Danio rerio: one gene and its partners. Each later gene encodes a partner of the first gene's protein in a complex. Links are inferred from orthologs where the notes say so. Each region holds a gene or a part of one and is shown in the gene's direction. Other genes may lie near its edges.

Region 1 (6,077 bases):
TTTTTTTTCCCCCATTCTGTTGCTTAGTTTGAACTGCAGCAGATCGTCTTGACCATGTCTACATGCCTAAATACGTTGAGTTGCTGCCATGTGATTGGCTAATTTAAAATTATGGGTTAACGTACAGTTGAACAGGTATACCTAATAAAGTGGTCGGTATGTTGTAGTCTCAGCTCATTTCACACAGTTAATAAAATAGATGGTTCATTAATGCAGTTTTTTTAAACCCCCTTTGTTATGTTCTGATTGGTCAGATGTCATGAAAAGTCATAAGTACGGGATACTACACACCATGCACTTACTCACTGTGTACTTATGTACTTACACACATAGTGTATGAATTTAGTGCCAGTATTTTACTAACCAGAAATTCAAACCGTTTCCCAAATGACATTTGACGGTTGCCAACTTAGTAATGACCAAATAGTACCTGTCATGAGTATAACCACATTCACCAATGGTGAACACATTGGAGCACTTTTTTGACAGTGGTTCCTTTCAATATAATCCAGAATTCAGAACAGTACAAGGTAAAAAAAAAGTTAATAAATGTGAAAATATACACAGCTATAAAGTATATAGAGTTATTAAATGATACGCAAAGTCTTATAATTAATTATAAACAATATGTGACTAGTATTGAGTTGAGAAAGTAACATTCAAGTTGTCAGAAAATTCTTAAATGTGCCATAGAATGACATTTTGGATATACCTAGGCATAGCTGAATAATAAGAGTTCATGGAAATTACATATCATGAGCCTCAAATATCAATGTGTTATTGTTCTCCAACAAATCCTGTGAGTGCAAAATCCCAGTGAAAATCCGGCCAATTGGAACAAAACACAAACTCTGACAATCCACACAGAATCAATTAAATGAACGCCCCAGGCAGTGTTTGATTGGCCACAACGTTTTCTAGTGAGATTACATCAATTATTATTTTCCCCTTATTTTTAACTTTATATAAGCTTGTATTAAACATACTATGCATGTGGGTCTCTTGTTTTGAAAATAGGAACAGGCAGGGAGATTAAAAAAGGAACAGTTTAGTGAAGTAGGCAGCTATGCATGACCACTAAGTGCTCACAACTTGTCAGAAAGCAAAATGCAGGATATACGGATTAAAAACGTATTCAGCACCACCTTGAAGAGGCATAAGGTCTGTTTAACTCCTCTCTTTTGTTAGTTTAAAGTATATAATTCGCTGTGTATATTTGTGATGAGGCAACAAACACACGTATACTGAGTAAAAGTGCTTAAAGATTGTTTCTGGAGATTTATTTTTTTGCTTACCTGAGCCACAAACCTGTTATTTAGATATCAGTGAACAATTTTCACTCCTTTACATTTTTACAAATGTTTAGAAAAGATCAACTTAAAATTTTTTGTGGATGGTAATTCCAAATCATGTAGAGGCAGTTTAAATTAGAACACAGTCAACAAGTGATGATTTAAGCAGAATCAAGCACTATCTCATCTGAATATGGTCCATACGCTCTGACCACAGCTTTTTGATAATGCTAGCCAGATCTCACATACAGAGATCTATGTTCATATCTGAAGTGACACCTGTCATCTGGTCTGCAGGTGCTAAAGTCTATGAGCGAGTGAAACGCACACGAGAGGATGAGCGCAGGAAGAGGAACATGCTTTGTGACGTCCTGCAGTACATTCATGACACCCGCGCCTGCCAGCAGTGGCTGCACAAACAAGCTGCCATGTAAGATCTCTTCCTCACTCACTCACAATACTGCTTCCTTTATGTTAAAATGTATTATTACATGAGTCATGAATCCCCCTGCCTCAGTGCTGCTTAGTTTTCAGCACAGTTTGGAAAAATGCTAAAATAAGGAGTGTTAGCACAAATTGAGTTCATGGATGTAAACTCCTCATCTTTTTTTACATTTTTGAGATCAAAATGGGTATGGCTGGGCGATTTGGCTTAAAATAAAACTCTTGATTAATTGAACATTTTACCTCAATTAATTTTAATAAACGATTATTTTATATATATTTATATAAAAATATATATTAAAATAAATGAAAAAAATGTATACATATATATAGTGTGTGTATGTATGTATGTATACACACAAGGCTTGACATTAACTTTTTTGATCACTAGCCATTGTGGCTAGTAGTTTTCCAATGTTACTAGCCACTTGCCGTTTTCACTAGCCACAATTGTGGAAAAATATATTTCATATGCATACATTTGATTTTGGCATGCTAAAATTGCTTGATTTAAATGATGTGTTATGTCCACATAAGCAAAAGCGGCAATAGCGGCTGCATGCAAACAATCTGGAGCTCCTGAAATCAGCAGGACAGTGGGTGCTTGAGCACCGCTTTTTTCCAGTCTATTTCAAAGAGAAATGATCACACCATTTCCAGTCCCGGTTGTTTTGCGTCAGAGAACAGGAGCTTTTAAGCACTCCCGTGGTTCAGATCAGCTGTGCTTCGCTCACAACGTCAGTGAGTGAGTATCGCCTGTGTCTACCGTGCGCCCAATCATCCTCTCATTTGGTATTCACCTGCTTTCTTTTCCTCACATGAAAAGTTATCAATCGTGCTGCTTCTCGGTTTTAAGATCACATTTGGGTGCATATTAACAAATAATCTTTACCATACTAATCTTTAGGGTCCAGGCAGCTCTGCAAATTATCATCTCCTATTATTTTCAACCAGCCAAAGTGGCTAGTGGGGGTGTCTGTCTAACCCGCTACAGTTAAAATCTACCCGCACTTGACGGGTTGGCAGGTGTTTAGGTCAAGCCCTGAATATATGTATGTATATAACTGTAACTGGATATTAACATGTAAATGTGTTCATGTCAGGACTCTTATCAAACGTGGATTTTGAGGCAGATCAGACAGTGCATGCCTGAGTTATAAAAACTACCTGTTTCGTGGAGATTCGTCAAAGTTTGCGAGGCCGCCACAGACACGCTCTAGATATTCGCAATTTAACATCTCCAAGGCCAATAATTTTTAATATCCAGTTACAGTGCCACCTGCTGGCAATAGAAAATGACGTTGTACAGTGTTACAAACACATACTAATTTTATCAGATTGATTCCAGGTTTTGTCAGTATAATTCAAAGGCCTTTGTGATGTTAAATAGTGAAGATCTAGAGTTTTCACATAGTCGATGAGATTTCCCTCCTGAAGATATATAGATATTGAGTCACAGTCATAGCGCTACCTGCTGACTGAAGGAAGTTTGACATAAATCTGTCATTTTCTTAGATTTTTAATATATATATATCAGTTCAAATTATTTTTGTTCTCTGTCATCCTAAGGCCTCCGGGCGGCGGTAAGCATGGGTGCTAGATTCCTTTTATCGGTGCTTGCAGATTTAATTCTTTAGTTTAAATAGTTTAGAGCCGTTTGAAGCTACATTTGTCTTTTCTGATTTATTTTATTTCAAAACAAGCAAACAAATGAACAGAATCTTACAGATTGCAAACTTTTAAATAGCCATCTATACTCATAAGACTGTCATTCCATCATGGCGTTCTCCATAACTCACAGTGATGATATTACTGCAATATTTTACTATTATGTCTACTATAATATTACCTTCATGCGCTGTTTTATCATCACATGTGTGTGTGTGTGAGTGATGTTTCTTATTGTCTGCTGGTCCACAGAGCATTCTCATTCAGCTCGTGGCTCTTTATCTGACAGTTTGTTTGTGTTTTTGGGGCTTCGTGTAAGTATTGAGCAAATGCATACCAAGTGAACGATGAATCAGTTTATATTTGATTTGGCTCAAAAGCCCAAGAGCCGCAGACAGTCTTTCAGAAGCGTTTGTTGAGCTGTTGACTAACTGTGTGTGTGTGTTTGTTTGCCAGTGACGCTGGAATCGCGCCTGTGGTCAGCACTATCAGCACCTCAGGTACAGTGCTGTTGATTTCTTGCATTTTTCACGCTGTGTGTCCTGTCCTCCTCTCTCTTTTGTGATGCGCTCTTCAGCCGTGAAGCCGCCGGCTCAAACACATTCGGCTGTAAATACCGGCTACAAAAAGCCAGCCACTCACACAGCTCGCATGTATTTCAGTGTTTTGTGCTTTCACATTTTGGCTGCTTTTGTCACTTCACTGCACAACTAGGACGTATTTGAATGCATATGAATCTGATTGCAGTCTGTGGTTGTGAACCATTGAGATTTAAAACCAAGTCATTTTAGATTGGACTGATAGTGATATTTTTTAAATGATTTATTATAGTTTTATTATTGTTCATTTTCTATTAATTAATTAATATTTAAATCAGTTTATAAATACAATTTATAAAAATTTTATATTTAATTTTGATGTAATTTTTACAGTAATACACAAATTAGAAATTCTCAAATAACTCTCTGATACTGATAAATATGTTGGTATGCAAGTATTTTTATCAGCAATTTTTACATGTATTTTAAATTACTTCTATTGTAAAATAAATAGTTGTGGAATATGTTATGGAGAAAATTTGTGACATTTCTGTTATAAATGTTATCATTGTACACAAGTTTTCGTTTTTTTATTATTATTTTGACAATTGAATTTAATTCAAATTATGTGAATTCTCTGATTCTGATAAATAAGTTGGTAAAATGAGATTTGTATATATTTATAAATATTTTGTATATTTTAGCTATTTTATAAATAATCTTTAAGTAATGTTTTTAATTGTTTTAAATCAAGTATATTACGAGATTAATTTTATAGACAAATTCTAATGACAATAAAAACAGAATCTTACAGTGTCCCGATTTAACTCATTTATAATATTAATAATAATAATAATTTAGCTATAGATATATATTATAACATACAGTATATATTTATAATATTTTAAGTTATTAAATAAATTCAATATTACATTACTATGTAATAATATGCATTAAATATTCTAACTATATATATGAGCAATATCACACAAGTAGCAGTGCTGAGTTCCTTAGTGCCCCCACCAGTGTCGATACGAGTGTGATATTGCGTTTATACAACAGTTTGACGGCATAATTGTGTATATAAAAACAAAATCAAACACGGAGAGTTTCAAAAACCCTTTTGTATGTGAAACTACTTTCTTCCGGATTCAAATCATTAGCTGACAGTTAAACAGTTGAGCAAGCATCTTTTAAATTTTAGATCTGTAGTGTCTGCTTTTTGCTGGCTGTATATAGGCGGAGTAATACACAAAGCGTAAAGAGGCTGTACGTGTGCTGATATTACTTAAATATATCACGGCTATTAGCCAATCAGATTGGAGAACCAGACAGAACTGTTATATATATATATATATATATATATATATATATATATATATATATATATATATATATATATATATATATATGTGTTGACAATAAGAAGAGAAGGATTTGAAAATGGATTTTCTTGATGCATTCATTATTAGACAATTTTAGCAAATGATTCTTATAAAATTATAATTAATTACAATTTACATTTCATTTTTTTAAATTGTTTCCTGCAACAATACTTTTATAATTATTGTTATTAGTTTTATTCAATATTAATGTTATGATGAATAATAAATGTGTTTTTAATAAAGGCAGCACAGCTTTCAATATCCCATTATTAAATCGTTGTAATGCAGAGCTTATTGGTGCTTTATATTGTTTTAGTTTTTTTTTTTTGCACATTTAAACCAGACACATTTTTACCATCATTCCAAAAAAAAAATTATTAAGTAATAACAAAATTGAGCAATTATGAAGCATTTATTCACACAGATGAGCTGTTTGCGTTGCTCTGCAGTAACTCTTCTGAAACGCTAGCTGGCAATAGGTTTTTATGTTCCTCTGTGTTAAGTCATGAGTGTTTTGTTATTTCTGAATGCTACCTTAATGTACAAGTAGCTAAAACTGATAAGACAAAGATAAGACAAAAGTTAAACACAAAACAAAAGCTTGCGACACTTGTAAACTCTTGCTCAATCGAGCTCGCGTCTCTTCACACTGCCCACACTCGTCACTGCTACCAAGTCGACTAATTACAGAGCTTGTGCTATGCGTCATTCTAAATAAATCACCCTTAAGTTTTCTGAGCACTAAAGCC
Region 2 (6,729 bases), on another chromosome or scaffold:
ATTATTTTTAGGGTTTTTTCACCTTTATTAGATAAGACAGTGGAGGAAAGACAGGAAAGCATTGGGATCAGAGAGAGGGGAAGGATCGGCACAGGACCTCGAGCTGGGAATCCAACACGAGTAGCCGTGAGCACCATGGTGCCACATGTCGACACACTTAACCACTAGGTTATTGGCGGCAACGAAACCATGATATTTTTATTCAGGGTTATCATACCATCAGAAACATATAACGGCCCATGCCTAGAAGGTAATCTGTTGTGGCTTTTTCAAAGTATTCAGTCACACCAGAATTTACAGTATGAAAACAATTCAATCAAATGCTTTTTCAACTACATCTGGAGGTGGCTTAAATTGGGCATACTAAAAGCTGTTAGATCTCAATTTACACCTTTTTTGTGTAAATAATGATCAAATCGCTGAAATGCATCTTAATATATCTGTGTTTTGGATCTAGGTTATTGAAATGCCTGAGCACAATCCAGGGCAGATGGGTGGAACCATGCGGCTGGGAAAAAGACGCACCTTATTCAAAAGCACCCCCAGCATTCTCCGTAAGTTGTGATCTTTTGTTTATCTTAAAATCATACATTTTCTTTTCGGCTTAGTACCTTTATTAATTTGGGATCGCCACAGCGGAATGAACCGCCAGCTTATCCAGCATATGTTTAACATATTGGTTTCTTTTCCGGCCGCAACCCATCACTGGGAAACACCCATACACTCCCATTCACACACATACACAATGGACAATTTAGCTTACCCAATTCACCTGTACCACATGTCTTTGGACTTGTGGGGGAACCCGCCGGAGCACCCATGCGAACATGGGGAGAACATGCAAACTCCACACAGAAATGCCAACTGACTCACCCAAGGCTTAAACTAGCGACTTTCTAGCTGTGAGGCGACAGCGCTACCCACTTAAAATCTTAAAATCATATGTCACAAATATAAATGTACATTCTATTTAAATAAGTGCATATAGATAATATTTGAATTATATTGTTGTAGGAAAGCTGTATGGAGATGCTGAATACGTGGACGAAAGGCATCGACACCGCTTTGAGGTTTGCAATAAAGATCTACTCTAAAATACCGTAAATGTTTTGTTTTCTATTTATTCATGTTAGTAATCTTTGCATTTTTTTCCAGGTGAATCCAGAACTGAAGCACCACTTCGAGGATAGAGGTTTTCGATTTGTGGGTCAGGACCTAGAGGGGGAGCGGATGGAGATCATTGAACTTGAAGGTCAGTGATCGTCTAGTATTTGAAAAAGCGGTCAGTCAGTGCTCATTTCAACTGATTTCTTCTGTCCAAACAGATCACACGTATTTTGTTGGAGTGCAGTACCATCCAGAATTCACTTCTCGCCCGATCAAACCCTCACCACCGTATTTCGGCCTTCTGCTGGCAGCGTCTGGGAAACTGCAAAACTACCTCCAGAAAGGATGCAGGCTCTCACCTCGGTTTGTTGCTTCTTAAACTCATATCATCCTAAATTAATTTAAAGTGGAGACATGCAGTATACTGTGTAAGTTGTCTTATTATCTTGTTTTCCTTTTCTCTCTCAGAGACGCATACAGTGACCGAAGCGGCACTAGTTCACCAGACTCGGAAATCTCTGAATTCAAATTCCCATCGCTTTCTTAAAAAGGAAAAACCCACCTAATCATAAAAACACATGAATGACGTTTTATGATATGAATGTATGAATTTAAATAAATGGATAACAATGCTAATGTGTTGGTTTTAAAATGTGAACAAGTGTGTTGTGTACAGTGGTATAGAAGTGATAATTTATAGTTATTCATTGTACATTTTCATTTAATTTAATTTATTTAATTAATTAAAATTTTAGAAATAATGTGTTTTAATAATTTTAATTTGTATATTAAAGTAATTTTTTATTATACAGAACTAGCTGAAATATTATATATTAAAAGTTTTATGAAATATTTAACATTTATTGTATTTCGAGTATCATAACTAGTATTACTTGGATGGTTTTATCAGGAGTTGACATTAATAACAATGAGCTGTGTTTAAAATGGCTCACTGAACTTGTCTATGCAAATACATATGTAAATTGATTGTTTTTACAAACTAGGGGATTTTTATATATAGAGAGAGAGCACTCTACCACTTATAACTATTACTTTACCAAATAAAATAACAATTTGGAAGAGATCATTTTCCAGAAGGCTTCATCAACTTCTCTGTGCTTTTATTTTGTAAGACTTTTGAGATCTCGCGATACTTCGGTTGAGCTCCGTTCGTCAGAAGAGGCGCTTGTAGAAGGAAAAACAACTTGGAAGGGCTTGTGCATATTTCCAGACCTTAAACGTCGAAGATGGAAAGATAATACAGAATTATTTGCATCAGGTACTGCAACGATTAACAATTAAACGGAATTACATCAAACAAAAGGAAAGCATCGCGAGACGTGTATTGGCACGAATGTTTTTCTCGCTAATGTTAGCTGCTAATATGTTAAGCTACAGTGTGATGATTAAAAACAACAACTATGAAGAAATTCAGACTAAAAACCATACTTATTTGGTAATTTGCATTATATCACATTAATATCAGCATAACACTTACATTATCAATTAGTTTAAGTGAATTATGTCATAACACACTGGCGAAGCAAAAAGGCTAACGCTAGCATATACAGCAAATGACAGTTCGGTGATGTTTATTTCTATCGAGCTAAAAGTTCTTCACTTCGTTGATATAACTTACTTAAAACAGCCGTTTAATATCCTTAATGTATTTATGCATTGATTAAACTCAGTTGAACTCTTAATATCTTTTTTCTGCAGCTGATTTAAAACTCCCACTAGTTCTGAAGAGGCTTGTGACATTTGACATCTCTTGATTAGCATAGTATGACCCAGTATCCAGCACAGACCAGTCGCTCGAATTTCTACACGGTTGTGAAAGCAGAAGCCTCTTCAACACCGCCGCTGTCCAGCAGCATGGCCAACAGCACGGTCGCTCCGGGGAAACTGCCCGGCACCCCCGGACCAGCAGGCAGACTGAGCCCAGAAGGACCTCAGGTGGGTCAGACTGTACAGCTATTATAAGACTGAGGTAACGTTGGTTTTATTTTCGGATATTTGTTCAGTAAGACGGTCCCTATATTGTTTACTACGAATATTCAGTCTGTACTTGCATCAAAGTATGACTACAAAAGAATATTAGCACTATTTAATTGACTGTGAACAATGTTGTACTTTGATAGTCATTGGCTACTAATAAGATTTCTACTATTAGAATTTGCAAAGAATACTTTTCTGAAATTATATTATTGAGAAAGTTTGAATGTGCGAACCAACTTTTACTTTCACACGAACATGCATAAAAACATTCCTTCCTCTAAATGATCATTTATTTCATTTCTGCGGAAACCTAGAGAAGAAAGCAAATACACAGTCGAAGCTCTTCTTTAAAACTTATATTATATTATATTATATTATATTATATATGTAAAAAGAACCTAGATTAAAAAATGAAACAAAACAGTATCTAATTTAAATCTTAACATTTAACTACATTAATATAGTTTAAAATTAATAACAATTTAAATTGAATATAAATTTAATTTTTAAATATAACATTTTTCCCCATTATTAATGTAAAATCATATTGGCTTATTTAACCTTGTCTCAAAGCAAAATAAAAAGTAGCAACTATAATAAACTGTGTAACGTTAAATAAAATGTTTTTAAAAACTATTTGTTTGACTATTTTTGTCAAAACATTTTTGCTTCATTCAATCTATCATGATTTGCACTTCTACTCTTCCGTAGCTTTGGATGTAGCAGTATACCTATCATGATTGAAAATTTTGTGTTGATGATTACTAATCAAGCAAATAATTTTAAAAATATTTAGATTTTTAACAGTTTAGAATAATTTTATTTATTTATATACATATATACTTTTTATTTTGCTTTGAAACATGATTAAATATAGGCCAGTATGGCTTTAAAACTATGGAAAATAATATAAAAATTAGAATTAAATTTAAATTCCATTTTAATTATATTTATATTTAAATTATATTAATGTGTGGTAAATGTTAAGATTCAAATTGTATTTTTTTAGTTAAAATTTTGAGTCTTGGTCCGTTTTATATTAAAATAAAAAATCATATAAAACCAAGCAATCATAATGTTATATGATATTATAATATAACAATATATGTGGGAAAGAAGATCTTTGGTTCTCTGTTAGTTTGGTCTTCACAGAAATAAAACAAGCTGTCATTTACAGGTAAAATGTATATTAAGCATGTTAATTTGTTTATGCACTTAATTTCCCTCATTTAAAAAAAAAAAACCTGTTTTCAACACCTGAAAGTAGATCAAATAACAAAGATCAGACAAATAATCAATATTTGCGATAGACCTATATGTGAAAATAGACTTTTTTAAGCCAATTTAAAAATATATTGACATTTATGTATTTTTATTGTCCTCCCTACAGGTGCTCAGTAAGAAGAAGCTGCAGGACCTTGTTCGAGAAATTGACCCTAATGAGCAACTTGATGAGGATGTGGAAGAAGTACGTGTGTCTTATTATTGATGATGTTCAAAAGTGTTCTCACACATTCATTGTTGACTAGTCAGTTTGTTGCCCAAATTACCATTTTAAACACACTTGAATAATAAATAGTTGAGTTTGTGAGAAACAAATGGGATTTTAATTGCAATGATATATAAAACACTTAGGGAAATAATCAGTTGATGTACAGTTGCAATCAGAATTATTATCCCCCCTGTTGAATTTTGTTTTTCTTTTTTAAATATTTCTCAAATTATGTTTAACAGAGCAAGGACATTTACACAGTATGTCTGATAATATTATTTTCTTTTGGAGAAAGTCTTATTTGTTTTATTTCGGCAAGAGTAAAAGTAGTTTTAATTTTTAAACACCATTTTAAGGTCAAAATTATTAGCCCCTTTAAGCTATATATTTATAGTATACAGAACAACCCATCATTATAGAACAACCTGCCTAATTACTCTAACCTGCCTAGTTAACTTAAATAATCTAGTTAGGCCTTTAAATGTCACTAAGCTCTATAGAAGTATCTTGAAAAATATCTAGTAAAATATTATTTACTGACATCATGGCAAAGATAAAATAAATCAGTTATTAGAAATGACTTATTACAACTAATATGTTTAGAAATCTGTTGAAAAAAACTGCTCTCTGATAATAATTCCGGATTCAGGGGGTTTAATCATTCTGATTGCAACTGTATATTAGACCTGAAATATCTGTTTTTGTCAGTTCAAGAATTTAAACTATACTATATTTGTACTATAATGCATTATAGTGTGTGTGTGTGTGTGTGTGTGTGTGTGTGTGTGTGTGTGTGTGTGTGTGTGTGTGTGTGTGTGTGTGTGTGTGTGTGTGTGTGTGTGTGTGTTTTTTTACTATATTTGTACTATAATTCATTATATTTTTTATGAAGAATGCATTGATTTTGTCAAATTCAAATAACAATAACACTATTACAACAACAACAACAACATCAAAAAATAAATAAGTGTTTTTTTAAATGCTGCTTTGTTTATCAAATGATGCATAAAAAATTAAAGATGATAAAACTAACATACTTGAGCACAGACTCAACAAATTCAGAATGATTTCTGAAGGATGAAAAAAATGAAGATTAGTTGAGTAATGCCATCACAGGAATAAATGACATTTTTACATTTTATAATTATTGTTATTATTTCATTACTTTTATTAGCGATTACAGCCTAAATGAAAAAGAACAGTAGAAGGATATGCTAACATTACTGTTACTACAGTGTTGTCTGTTGACCATTTGTTTCAGATGCTGTTGCAGATAGCTGATGACTTCATTGAGAGCGTGGTGACTGCTGCATGCCAACTGGCCCGACACAGGAAGTCAAGCACTCTTGAAGTAAAAGACGTCCAGCTACACCTTGGTGAGGATCTTAAATGATCATTTTATCCATGGACTTGAGTGCTTCATTTGAATACATTTGAATAAGTACACTTTTAAAAGGGTAATTCACTCAAAAATGGAAATGTATTCCTTATTTACACTAAAAGAGATATTTTAACAAAAAGATGAAAACCAGTGAAACAGAGGCCAGCAAAGTGAAGTGCTATGCTGGTTCAATGGGTTGGGTGCAGTAGGACCGGTGGGCTACAGATGGGGGCTCGTCCAGGATGGGAGTGAGGTTTAAGGGGCTGACTGTAACGAAGGCCAGCTAGTGAAGTGCTACGCTGGTAAACCTCACTCTTCTGACCTATAAAGGTGCTTTATCAACAGACGCTAGAGGTCATGGTCTTTAGCCTCCTTGTTAGAGCAACCGACTCCCACACAAAGAATCGCTGGTTAGATCCCAGCTCAGAGCGAGTTGGGTGCTATAAGACTGGTGGGTTACACTTGGGGGCTCGTCCGGGATGGAAGTGAGGTTTAGGGGGTGAGTGTAACGAAGGCCAGCTAGCAAAGTGCTAAGCAGGTAAACCATATTCCTCTGAACCTCTAAAGGTGCTCTAAGGACAGACGCTAGAGGTCATGGTCTCCTTTTTAGAGCAACCAACTCCCATACAAAGAATCGCCAGTTCGATCTCAGCTCAGAGCAGGTTGGGCGCAGTAGGACTGGTGGGTTACATGTGTAACCATTGACTTCCATAGTAAGAGAAATGCCTAATATGATTGTCAGTGGTTAGAG
Region 3 (6,077 bases), on another chromosome or scaffold:
TGGTCTATTGTAAATTATTCCTTGTTCAATTGGTCTGCAAGTGGTCTTGAGACGCTTGAAAATAAATGATGCGGTGGTTTATGTAGGACTGGGCAGTATGGCCATGTTAATATGCTAAAATTGTTTACATCAGAGTCAGTATCAATAATTATCAAAATAAAATGTCTATTTCTTTAGTTAAAGTGCAGATTATAGCCTCTGGGAGAAAGTTCCAAAAACCAGAATAGTAAATTGTAAAACTAAATTTTATTGTCAAAGATGACAAACATCCAACCTAATGAGCAAGACCCTTTAGCATGTGAACATACAAACAAACTCGAGCAGCTGTTTGTGCTAATGGATAAACAATCTATGTTGTGCAAAGGAACAATGCAGTTATGATATGCTAATGTATTCCACTATTATGTTAAACATTTATAACGTGTTGTTTTACAGAGGGAAAAATTATTACAATAAATATGGTTTTATCGCCAAGCCCTAGGTTTGTGGTGAGAAAACAATTCACCTTAAACAGGGGTCTCAAACTCGCGGCCCGCGTGCCATTTGCGGCCCTCAGTGCAATATTTTGTGGCCCGCGCCGACCGCTGATTCTATCCGTACACAGCGGTCACTGGCATTCCCCGCCTGCCGTGTAAACAAAGGGGCGGGGATGCTGGTGACGTCACCACGCACCCCGCCCCTTTGTTAGACGCTGTGACGGGCGGGAAGTGTTGATTTTTACTTCTGAGTCAAACACCGGCGTAGGCTACGTCGCTGACGCATAGCCCTTCGCCGTGGCCGTCGCCGTCACTGACGTGCACCTCTCAAAAATTGTAACTACACGTTGTAACGACGCGTAGCGCAAGCTCTGTGATTGGTCGGCTTGCTAGCGCCGACGAGTCTGGGCGGGACCGAGAGCCGCGAGAATGGCGCGAGCGATTGTTTACAAGTGTGGAGTCCTGTGAAGGAGCTCCGGATGGAAAGTTTTGTTCTGTGTTTACCTCATGGTAAAAGTTATTGCACGTCCGCCGGTTCCTGCCTCAAAATGAGCGAGTTTGAGTCACTTGTACATCCAGGAAGTGTTCAGAATAGCAAAACAGAAGCGAAGAAACTCGACACAGAGGAACATTTACACCTCACTGCCCACTAGCGTTTCGGAAGTGTTAATGCAGACCAACAGAGACAGCGCGCAGAAGCCTGGTTTATACTTCTGCGTCAAGTGACCGGCGCAACTCACGGCGCAGGCAACGCGCGCAGCTGTGCATTTATACTTCTGCGCATTTATACTTTAAATGCACAGCTGCGCGCGTTGCCTGCGCCGTGAGTTGCGCCGGTCACTTGACGCAGAAGTATAAACCAGGCAGGGAGGGAACTCGTGCCGGCCAGAACCAAGGTAAGCTGTTCCCGCCCCTGCCTGCCACTTAGCTACCTATCTGCAGCCTGCCACCTACCTAGCTACAGCCTGCATCTTGTATATATTATAGGTAGATACAGACTGGTACAGACTGATGTGACTGGAGTGGGGTGGGGGTGTTTTATTTATACATATATATATATACACATATATACATATATAAGATTTGTGAGAATAAGCGCTGTCAAGTCTCTGGCCGCAAGAAGTAGGCAAAAGATGCCATGTTCAGAAGAACTGTTCATAATCTTCACTCAATGTTCTATTAATGTCCAGGACACTTCATGTTCAGAAGAAATAATTAAAACTGTTAATAATGACATTTGAGGACTTTTTTTGTGAAATCCCTTATGCGGCCCAGCCTCACCCAGACTTTGCCTCCTGCGGCCCCCAGGTAAATTGAGTTTGAGACCCCTGCCTTAAAGGGTATGATAAGATATGTGCATATAGACAAAGACTATAGACTACACAACCTGTCACTTGTGTAGTTTCATGGTGAATGAAGCCCTGCCTTCTAGTACAGGAGCCAATCAGCTATCGCTATTCTATATCAGCTATCGCTATAGACTATAGACTAACTCCCTCTGTGGGAGGGATTCGGAACAGCCATGAGTTTCTGAAGATTTTGTGTGATTAGAACGTTTTAGAACTAAAACTAAAGACACCGTTATTGTTTAATTTTATTGTAATTCCTAATATGAAATTTAATCCTAAGCTTGGCAAGCAATTTTTTATAATTGGATGTATCCATATTCAGACAGAATGCCTGAGCATAGTGCCCAAGAGGCGTTTCAAAGATGGCTGCAGAGTGAACTGACTTGCCTTGAAGAATAGGTCTCAAACTGGTTTCCTGGAGGGCCACAGCTTTGCACAGTTTTGTTTCAACCCTAATTAAACAGCTGATTAAAATAAACAAGGTGTTCAAGACTACTATAGACTATTAAGCAGGTGTGAGTTGGAAGTGGTTGGAGCTAAATGATGCAGAGCTGCGGCCCTCGAGGAATTGAGTTTGGACACCCCTGACTTAAAGGGACTTTGATATAGAATAGCGCAGGGGTTCTTATACTCTATCTTGGAGATCCGGTGTCCTGCAGATTTTAGCTCCAAAAAAAGGATGTTTCTAGAAAGCCTATTAAGAGCTTGATTAGCCAGCCCCATTAGATTTGGGTTGGAGCTAAAATCTGCAGGACACTGCACCTCCAGAGCCAAGATTAAGAAGCTCTGGACTGATTTCACAATCCTGTTTCTTGTGCCCACTGAACTGCACGTTTCTTATGGTTTTCTTTTCACTTCAGACACTTGTTCTTATTTGACAAGTTCCCTGCAAAGTGACTTTAGAGGATATTATGCCATGTTTTATTTTTGAAGACAGCATATATATTTTATTCAAAGGAAGTTTCAATGTGTGATATGTAAATGTATTGTACAATATATTTATGTAGGCATGTCACATCTCAAGTAAGAAGACTCTGCAGGCATTTAGGCAATGCTATTGTGCAAATCTGTGAATGAGTGTTCCGAAGTGAAATAAATGTATTTTGTGCTCAGGTAGAGCTCAATGAAGAAAAAGCGAGTAGGGAGTAATGCACACTGTGTGGAGACCTGTTAATTCTAACATGGTTGATGCATGGAGCTTATTTAACGAGCTGGTTATCAAGATCAGGTGTGTTAAATAAGAGTATGCAAAATGTTCGGACTGGTGGGGCACGGCATTGAGAAACACTGATTTAGACTAGCTGATATTAGCTTAATCTTCAAATTCAACCTAGAAGAAATTGATACATAGTAAAAGCAGTAACCCCTTTTCCCCCCAAACAATACACATGGTCTACAAGTGAGAAAATTGTGTAAAACAAATTTGATAAACACCTGAACAGTGTTTTGTCGGAACATTACAGAATATTTAGGTCAGTTTGTTTAAATTATGAAGTGAGAAATCAGCATTTAACAAAACAATGTGGCTGTTAGCACTCATTTTGAGGACGCCAGTAAAGTCATGCTTATTTTTATTGAACGTTATGCAGATGATTGCTATTAAAACTGCATAGAATGGAGAAAACTGTCAGTCTTGCTGTTAATTATAATTTTACATCAAATTCTACTGACAAGCATCTCTGTATTGATTGTTACTACTTTTGGAAATGAACTAGAACAAATTTCCTAGTCAAACTACATGCAGATTTACATAACTGCCGGAGAAAATGTTGTTGGGAAGGTGTTTACCAGCTGAAGCAAATCTTCTGGGAAGTTTACAATGACAAGCTGCTTTGGCCTCATAAAGCAAATACCACACAAACTCTGTTTTGACCTGATTTATTTTTTGCCACATCAGTTTTTCAATTTACTTCACTTAAAGTATATCAAAGCCTTTAGTTTGAATCTCAAAGCCTTTAGTTCGAATCTCAAATTTTTGACCAACTGTATCAATGTCTACAATATTCAGTCTAAAATAAGTTATTTTTCACTTATTCTAAACCCTTTAGTTTTGTCAACTGAATGCAAAAATCTATTTTTTAAAATGTTGGTAACCGGTAGTCATTAGTTTCCGTAGTATTTATATTTTCTTACTATGTATATCAGTGGCTACTTGTTACCAAAATAAATAATATACATCACAGAGGGTGGATTGAAACAGCCTTTTAACTAAGCAAATTTTATTTTTATTTTTGTGTGAACTATCCCTTGAAGTTCGCTTCTACGGAGCATATGGATGGATGTAATTGTTTTCCTGTTCTGAAAAATATTTTTTGTGAATATTTACAGTGAATATTTTCACTGTAGTTACAATTTTTCACTTAAATATACTTTTTTTCTTAAATAACATTATATGTGTTCTTCTTTTTTAAGCACTGGAAAGTCTAGGATTTGGGTCATACATCGCAGAAGTAAAAGACGTTCTGCAGGAGTGTAAAACTGTAGCACTTAAAAGAAGAAAGGCCAGCTCTCGACTAGAGAACCTTGGCATTCCCGAGGAAGAACTTCTCCGCCAACAACAGGAATTATTTGCTAAGGTAAAAATGCATGCCGAATGGTTAATTCTAAAGATTTCACTCTTAGCTTAGCAGTTGGTGCCTTCTCGTTTTTTTTTTTTTTTTTTTTTTAATGCAAAAAGGTACACAAATTACATTAAATCACCAGTGTTGCCAACTTAGTGACTTTTCAGACCCCCTTAGCGGCAAATATTCCAAAAAAAAAAAAAAGCGACTAACAAAAAATCTAGCAACTTTTTTTGGTGTTACTGGAGATTTTTTATGGACTCTTAAGCCTAGTTCACACTAAAGGATTTTAAGCCTGATTTGAGCCCGATTTGAAAGTTAACGAGCTTGCTGACAGATCGGACTGTGATCGGGAAAAACAATTTCCTGGTGCTCGGCGCTCTGCAGTCTTATTTATGAACTACTGAATAACGGATCAAAAAGGCTTGATGACACCTCGCAGACAGAAATACAATATCTAGCATGCTGAATATTCCAGAGCAGTCGGCCGACTCGACCCCACGCGCGTTCATATGAAGTGATGAGCTGCAGCCAATGAGGGAGAGCATATCAGCATGAGCTGAACGTGTGCTCAGGAGCTCAACAGAAATGTCTGTGATTGGCCAGAATGGGCATCGATGCACTCGCTTCATTTTGTGTTAACACAGACACGAGAATAGGCTGTAATAACAGTGGAACTAGAATTCTGTAACTGGATCATTGCTTTTTCTGTATACTGGTCATTCTGACCATTCTCATATAAAACATCATATTGTCACATCATATTTACATTCTAAACTTCTTTTAAGATATTAAAATTAGCCTTTGAATGCCTGTCAACATTTTCACACCATTACCCTAAACTTTTATTTTTTTCAGTAATACAGCTTGTAAATATTTAGTTAAATACTAGAACACGCAAAGGTCTGGGCCTTCATTTTCACTTTCAAACAGAAGCAATTTCATGACACAGAAAATGCAGTTTTGAAAGATATATCTGGAGTTTTTGCAAGCAGAAAGTTATGTTTATGTTAGAAGGAAGTTGCTAGGCAAAAAATGCATTTATATTTACAGTCACAGTGAAAAGTAACTGGCATGCATGCAGTCATTTTGACCTATACGGTAATTAAAGGTAGAAATGCTCAGTTCTTTACTGTTTTGTCAATTAAAAAAATATCAATGTTAAAAAAAATACACAGATATTTAGGAAATGTCCAGGTGTTGAGGATTTGTTAGTTTTTTTTTCAGAGTTATTAAATTAAAAAAATGAAAAATTCTGTTTCTATTCACTTGAACCTTGCAGATGAGTTATCAATCTGCTCAGCTAATTGACTATATTTTTAAATGCTCCCTTGGAAGCTTGAAACGCTGTCAGTGATGTCATCAGCACACTAGCAGCCAGTGGTGTTCATTTTCTTTGCAAAGTTAGTCAAACCGATCTGCTTCTCCATTGTTTTAAATTTAACAATTTAATTTGGCTGTTTTTTTTTTTCTTGTTCACAATCAGAGAGATTTTAGTGAGTTTCTGAACTTTTGTGAGTTTATTGTGTCTGGGAGATTACTGCAAATTCATTATACATCTATATTGATATACTGTATTCAAACAATACATTTAGTTAAATTGACATATATTGCACATATAAAGCCTAGTGTAAATATAAATAACCTGTTATTAACCATAGACTGCTAAACAAAAACTACTGGACGTGATG
Region 4 (6,711 bases), on another chromosome or scaffold:
GAGTTTTACTTAACCTCCTTTCTGAAACAGGCCCCAGGTGCCAACTAATTAAAAACGCAGAAACTGTGCACAATTTCACTGCATGTGTTTGCTTTCTGGACAGTCTTTCACTGACACTTACAGCAGAAGCCATATTTCTCTGCGATTTAGGGAATGAAAGTGAACTCCATTTCTCTCTCTCTCTGTGGCCCATTTCACCTGCTGGCGTGACTTTTCCTCTCGGCTGCTGGTGTGACTTTTCCTTCCCTCTCTTTTCCTCTCGGCTGTTACAACGATACTTCTGGATATAAGTCTGCATTCCCGTGGCTGTACCTGTACACTGTCGCGAGACCAAAAAAAAATTTATTTCCAAATAAAGCGCGGGAGCGGTCTGTAACTCTGGTGTAATTTGAACAGGAGTGGGCGGTCTCACAATATCGCTCCCGAGCGAGCAAGCGAGCAAGCAAGCAAGTGCACGTGTGTGTGTGTGTGTGTTTATTTGATTGGTGCTGTCTATGTTTGTGTGTGTATGTGTGAGAGACAGTGTAATGCTATGTGTCTATGTGTGTTTTTAAACAGACAGCTTGTTATAGCCCCCGCCAAAAAATATAACACTGTGTATGGAAAGCATCATCAATGCACCAAGATACCGAATTGAACCAAATCGATGGCATGATAATCGTAACCGAACCAAACCATGAGACCAGTATAGGTTCACACCTCTAATCAATAATATCGATTTTTATTTACTTTAACGACAAAATGTCAGTAAATAGCGCTATTCTGCCTAGCCTGCTTTACTGAGCTGAAGTTGGTTTTATATTCACATCACATTGGTTCATTTTTGAACAATGAAAACCTGTGAAGCGCCCTCTATATTGTTTACCCTTCTACTCTGAATATTCAGTCTGAAACAGCATGTAAATGTGACTTACTAATAAATGTAATTCCTGCACATCGCTGACCAATCACTAAGCACACAGGTGTCGATTTAGGACAAAACGCGTAAGAGAGAGTAAGGCCAGCGATCCTTGCATGTATGAAATATTGAACATTATGAAGTTTTGCTTGCAACACTGAAAACATGCTAGATATAAAGCAGTTTTTCATTGGGAATTTTAGTATTATAAAGTACTATAAACTTTTCTAACTGGTGAATGACATGATCTAGTGGGTCTCTGTCATCTTTAATGTGCGTGTTTGTGATAACAGGAGGCGTGGTTTTGGCCAGCAGTGGAGAGATTGAATTTAAAAAATATTATGCTAGCCGGTTATCATTTAGGCTGATCCCCTAATGCACATTTAATATACACTGCCTGAATTAATGTCCACAAACCAGGATTGAGGAGTCTTTTATATTATTGTACTGACATGCTGTTGTGGTGATAAAGACGGCATAATCTCTGTAATTCATTACAAACATGCACTGTTTTAAAAACTTTTTAAACTTGTAAAACTCACTCTCGATCACATTTGATGATGACTGATGATCACAGAAAGCTGAACAGATCTTTTAATCCCAGTTGCTTTGCACACTTTGTGCCTTGTTGATATGATTATGCGTATTACTACTAATACATGTTAGTACGCGGCTGTCAATCAATTCGGTGGACAGGGAAACCGCCCTCCTATGTCACGATGCGGTGGGCCTCAAAATAGGAGGGATTTAAATCCTATTTTAACATTAAGAAATTTTTTAAAAAGAGACCTATTGTCTTTATATCACCTTAATATGACTGTGGACACACACTATACCTATACACAGTTCTGTCCAAACAGATTAGAAAATATTATTTTCATCATAGGTGCCCTTTAAAATTATATTTTATGCAGATATGCTCCACTACACAATAACTCAATTTTAGCAAGCTATTCATCTGGTGAAATTGCATTTATATCGCAATATATATCACAGTGAATGAAAATATTGCAATGTCAGTTTTTTCCAATATCATTTAGGCATACATTTTTTATTTACAGGCCTTTACCTTTAACGTTACACAACCTTTTGAACCCTATTTGTTTGTCTGGGTGTGTGTATTTTTAAATAGCTTTTTAAAGAATGACATGAAATGATCAGGTAAATGCATTACCCTTGGCATATACATAAAAACCCGTTTCATTTTAGTCATATTGATAAATTGTAATGTTAAATGCGATTTAAAAACACAAAAGGGTGAAACAGAAGATTGTTTTGTGACGGACAAAATAATAAACATTAAACACGGTCAATGTCAATATTTAAACTATCGAAATAAAGTAATTTACCTTCGTTTATATTTGCAGTAGTCAATTTTAAATGCTCGTTATTTTGCTAGCGGAAGTGAGGTCATGTTATGCAGGAGACCGTTGGTCCAATCAGCGCAGCAGCCGGGAGCGGAAGAATGATGGCGGCGGACGGCGAAAGACGCGGTGCGTGTGCTGCAAGTAAACAAGAGCAAAGCAGAAGCCAGATTTCACTTCATGCAAGACAAAGGGATGCTTTCAGAGACTGCGTTGCCTCTATTGTCGACTCCCTCGCTGAGCTTGGAGTAAAGGTTTGTTTAAAAGCAAATTCTGCCACGGTGTCACTGTTTGGGATAGAGCTCTTAACAGTCATATTTGTAACGTTATTTCATTTGAGATGCCAAAAGCTAAATATGTAACGTTAAATTATGGAACTTTTCCGAAGTAACAAGATCACCCATGTCGTAAAATTATATGATTTGTCCGCGCTAATATGATTTGTTTCAATCACTTAGATAATTTGTCTGTACTTGTCTGCAATAAGTTGTAATATGCAATATTTCCACTGTCACTGCTGAAATAATCAGCCTGTCCTGGAGTTTTTATAATGGTCTCATATGTTTCTTTTCTGGATTTTTATTCAATTTTTAGCTGGTTTTACTCCCTGCCTCCCCAGCTGACAAGTGCCTAAAATCTTACTACTCATTTAACAAACCATATTGACCAGCGAAATAAACCACCTAGTCTGTTTTAGGCATCTTTTCTGCATTGACAATTTAGAAACCACAACAACAACAAAAAACTGTCTTATTTTCCAGTTAAAAATAGATGATAACGCATTGAAAATCAGTGCCAATGTCAACAATGTGAACATCTGTGAGCTTCAGCCATCTCATGTGCACTCCTGTTTACAACAGCACATCTCCAAACTACAGGTAAACAGAGTCATGTGCATTATAACATTTACTAACACACATAGCTGATTTTTTAAGTATAAAGATATCTTCTGAACCTTTAAATAGATCTTGTAAGTGAATTTTGTTTGCCATTTATTTGTTTACTTATCTGTAATGAACCTTATCCAGAGAATTGGTGAACATTTGTTTCCACAATGGAATAAAAAATTAAACCCATTATGTCACAATTGTAATTCAGAGAATATCATCAGTATTGCCAGAAGGAAACATGATATATTATTGGTGGAAAAGTCAGAATTTTATAATGCTATTTAATATTTTATCTTGCATTTTGACTTTTTATGTTAGAATAGGGACTTTATTGCCCACAAATCTTCATTTGTATCTCACATTTTTGATAAAACGTTTAAATTACAAGATATAAATTATTATAAACGAAGTCAAAACCATTTGAAACCCTGAGATGCAGAGTAACAATACTGAAAATAGTCAGAATTACGAGATAATGTTCATCATTTTCAGTTGCAAGTATCAAATCACAATGCGTTGAAGAAAAGTCACAGTTATCCTTACTTATTTGTTTTTTCTTTGGTGGAAACAAGCTTTTGCTGCAATGTTTTTATTTTATGAAATTAAGGCTTTGAGGGATAGAAAGTAAGTGCACTCTTTTAGTTGATCATTAAAATATATAAAATACATAGTACTGACTCATGTTTATTTATAATTAATCACATCCAAATTCAAAGCTTGTGTGTGTGTGTGTGTGTGTGTGTTTGTGTGTATGCATGTATGTATGTAAGTGTGTGTGTGTGTTTGTGTTCGCGTGTGTGTGTGTGTGTGTGTGTGTGTGTGTGTGTATATATATATATATATATATATATATATATATATATATATATATATATATATATAAATATATATATATATAAATATGCTATTTATTAAATTTTTTTGAGAAAATGTTTATTTACATTTACATATAAAATATATATAATATTTTTTATTGTAAAATTAAGTTTTATGTATATGTGTGTTTTAAATATGCATACTACACACACACATATATATTATGTTACAACGTATTTATATTTTGGTCACGGTTTACTACGATTAATCGTTGCCCTGCACTATTAAATTCATATTATGCAAGTGGAATAATGTTGTTTCCTGAATAATGTTCTTAAAATGTAAATATGTTCAGTGTTTTTTGCAAAACAAAAACTGACAGGGCAAAATGAATCCTTTGTCCTTCAAGATGGTTCTCTGATTAGCTTATCAGCGTTTTTTTTTTTTTTAAATGTATATGACCAGCATTACTGCACATTATCTTCTGACTCCTTGCTAAGACACAGTTTATCATTATAAAGACACTGTAAGACTGTCTTTTACCACATTGTTTTTTTTTTATTAACCTTCTGCTTCTAGTCGGTCTCTGAGAGTTTGAAGCAGATAGTGGAGTCTGAGGCAAATAACTGTACAAGTTCCAACCCAGACATCGGTGAAAGGAAAGAAACTGCACATACATCTGAGCAGATGTTTACTGATGATCCTCTTACATCTGACCACTGTGCTGCCCTTGAGGATCGAAACAGGACTCAAATCGATGATAACGTGCAGATCAAGGCTGCTAAATCAGAGGTAAATTTATCACTTCAAAATGTAGGCATATTTTACACAAATCACAGTTGTATTTATTGGAATATTTAAACAAGTAAGTGATCATATGAATATTTACAAATTGGGGTAAAACGTAGTGGTTTTGAAGGATAGTTGCAAAATATAAAGATTAAAAATGACAATTAATGACAATTTTTTATTATTATTATTATTATTATTTTTTTTTGGAGCATCCGTTATGTAGTGTTTTTATATGTCATCAAATGATTCCTATTCGAAATATGTTTGGCACCGATGACGTAGTGGTTAGTGCATCAACAAATGCACTCACGGCGGTGATCACGGCGACCTGAGTTCGATTTCCACCTTGAGGTCCAATGCCGACCCTTCCTCTTTCTCTCTGCTCCCCATGCTTTCTTGGTAATAGTCTCTACTGTCCTGTTTGTTGATAGTAAAAACTCTGAAAAAATTATTATTAAAAAAAGAAATATGTCTGGCAAAGTTGTTTTGATACATAAACCATTGTTTCAGTGAATTAAATTTTAGTGTGCATCTTCTAAAAATCTTAATAAAATGTGCTTTACATTATTTTAATAACGCATTTTAATTAAGAAAAATATTACCCTTTTATTTTCTAATCAAATCAAATCTAACCAAATAATTTTGTCATAATATTATAAAACATATATATATATATATATATATATATATATATATATATATATATATATATATATATATATATATATATATATATATATATATATTTTTTTTTTTTTTTTTTAATATATATATATATATATATATATATATATATATATATATAGTTTAAATCAAAATGTCAAATGTAAAATCTTTTTTCATCCAAGAGCTATTTTCAGTTTTAATGCAGTAAGTCATAAGTACATTGCTACGTATTAAGATAATTTATTTAGTTGAATAGTTTATTGTTTTCATTTTTATTTACCAATGATTATTGTTAGTCTGAACATTTATTTTTGTGTGTTAAAGCAATCTCTTCTCCCAAAACACAATTAAAGTCAATTGCTTGACAGTCAGAATGTATTATTTGCATGTAATCTGCCCCAGTTGGTCAGTCATATGCAGTGTGAATTGCCATCTGTGGACAGACAGTTGAGAATGAATGAAAGGCTCCTTCACCACTTTTCCTTCAGAAAGAAACAAATAGCCACCCACTTTGAGAGTCCTGAGAGAGGTCCTGGTCCTTGCAACGTTATGAAGTGGATGTTCATTACACGCTGAAATTGCATGTGGGCGAAGGACAAGGAGGCCCTCATTTTTATTGCTTATTTATTTACAGTCACTGTAATAAAAGGCCCAAGCAAATCACAACTATCTGAAACGGTTACGTGTGAGAAATATTTTGATTTTTGGAATAATTGTGTCCACCCTGGTCACTTGTTAGTCATGCAGCCCGTACGGCCTAGCGGTCCTCATTATAACTAAACAGCAAAAAAGAAGACAGTGAATTGATTTTTTTGTTCTTCAATAGCTCATCAGCCTGACCCTCATTGCTCTCTCTCTCCTCATTTTCTCAGATTGAACGTAGGATATCTGCATTTATAGAGCGCAAACAGCTGGAGATCAATGAAAACAATGTGAGGGAGTTTTGCAACGTGATCGACTGCAATCAGGGTGAGAATGGGAGGGTATGGGCGGCAGGGGGGTGGTCAAAGGTATACTGCACAACAATTGCCAATGTTTGTAAGAGTGCTGATTTTCACTGACGTGAGGTCAGAATTCAACTGTCATTTTCACAGAAAATTCTACAAATAAAATCTATTATTGTTAGTGCTGTCAAACGGTTAACTATATAAATAATCCAAAATAAAAGTTTGTATTTACATAACATTCATGGCAGTTTTTCTGAGGCTTTTTAAATGTTAAATTCATATCAACATTATATCTTCATTTATTTATTTTATTTTCAGCTTAGTCCCTTTATTAAACA

Evidence for each region.
Region 2: tada2a (region 1) and taf12 share a complex: the UniProt entries of both Homo sapiens proteins name them as parts of the PCAF complex. The link is inferred for Danio rerio from reciprocal best matches to the Homo sapiens genes TADA2A and TAF12.
Region 3: tada2a (region 1) and dr1 share a complex: the UniProt entries of both Homo sapiens proteins name them as parts of the ADA2A-containing complex. The link is inferred for Danio rerio from reciprocal best matches to the Homo sapiens genes TADA2A and DR1.
Region 4: tada2a (region 1) and mbip share a complex: the UniProt entries of both Homo sapiens proteins name them as parts of the ADA2A-containing complex. The link is inferred for Danio rerio from reciprocal best matches to the Homo sapiens genes TADA2A and MBIP.

What each region holds. Positions count from the first base shown.
Region 1 is NC_133190.1:18,242,743-18,248,819, forward strand, and holds part of tada2a (transcriptional adapter 2-alpha), read left to right. Parts: intron 1-1,589; coding exon 1,590-1,722; intron 1,723-3,860; coding exon 3,861-3,904; intron 3,905-6,077. UniProt on the Homo sapiens protein: Component of the ATAC complex, a complex with histone acetyltransferase activity on histones H3 and H4. Required for the function of some acidic activation domains, which activate transcription from a distant site. Binds double-stranded DNA.
Region 2 is NC_133191.1:38,668,415-38,675,143, reverse strand, and holds the start of taf12 (transcription initiation factor TFIID subunit 12), read left to right. Parts: upstream 1-2,301; 5' UTR 2,302-2,386; intron 2,387-2,826; 5' UTR 2,827-2,892; coding exon 2,893-3,063; intron 3,064-4,495; coding exon 4,496-4,573; intron 4,574-5,858; coding exon 5,859-5,973; intron 5,974-6,729. Other genes in the region: ctps1b (CTP synthase 1b), read left to right, coding at 458-554, 1,015-1,070, 1,156-1,252, 1,326-1,470, 1,576-1,654. UniProt on the Homo sapiens protein: The TFIID basal transcription factor complex plays a major role in the initiation of RNA polymerase II (Pol II)-dependent transcription.
Region 3 is NC_133181.1:26,449,167-26,455,243, reverse strand, and holds part of dr1 (protein Dr1), read left to right. Parts: intron 1-4,237; coding exon 4,238-4,401; intron 4,402-6,077. UniProt on the Homo sapiens protein: The association of the DR1/DRAP1 heterodimer with TBP results in a functional repression of both activated and basal transcription of class II genes.
Region 4 is NC_133192.1:40,161,866-40,168,576, forward strand, and holds the start of mbip (MAP3K12-binding inhibitory protein 1), read left to right. Parts: upstream 1-2,351; 5' UTR 2,352-2,363; coding exon 2,364-2,516; intron 2,517-3,023; coding exon 3,024-3,140; intron 3,141-4,547; coding exon 4,548-4,760; intron 4,761-6,298; coding exon 6,299-6,395; intron 6,396-6,711. UniProt on the Homo sapiens protein: Inhibits the MAP3K12 activity to induce the activation of the JNK/SAPK pathway. Component of the ATAC complex, a complex with histone acetyltransferase activity on histones H3 and H4.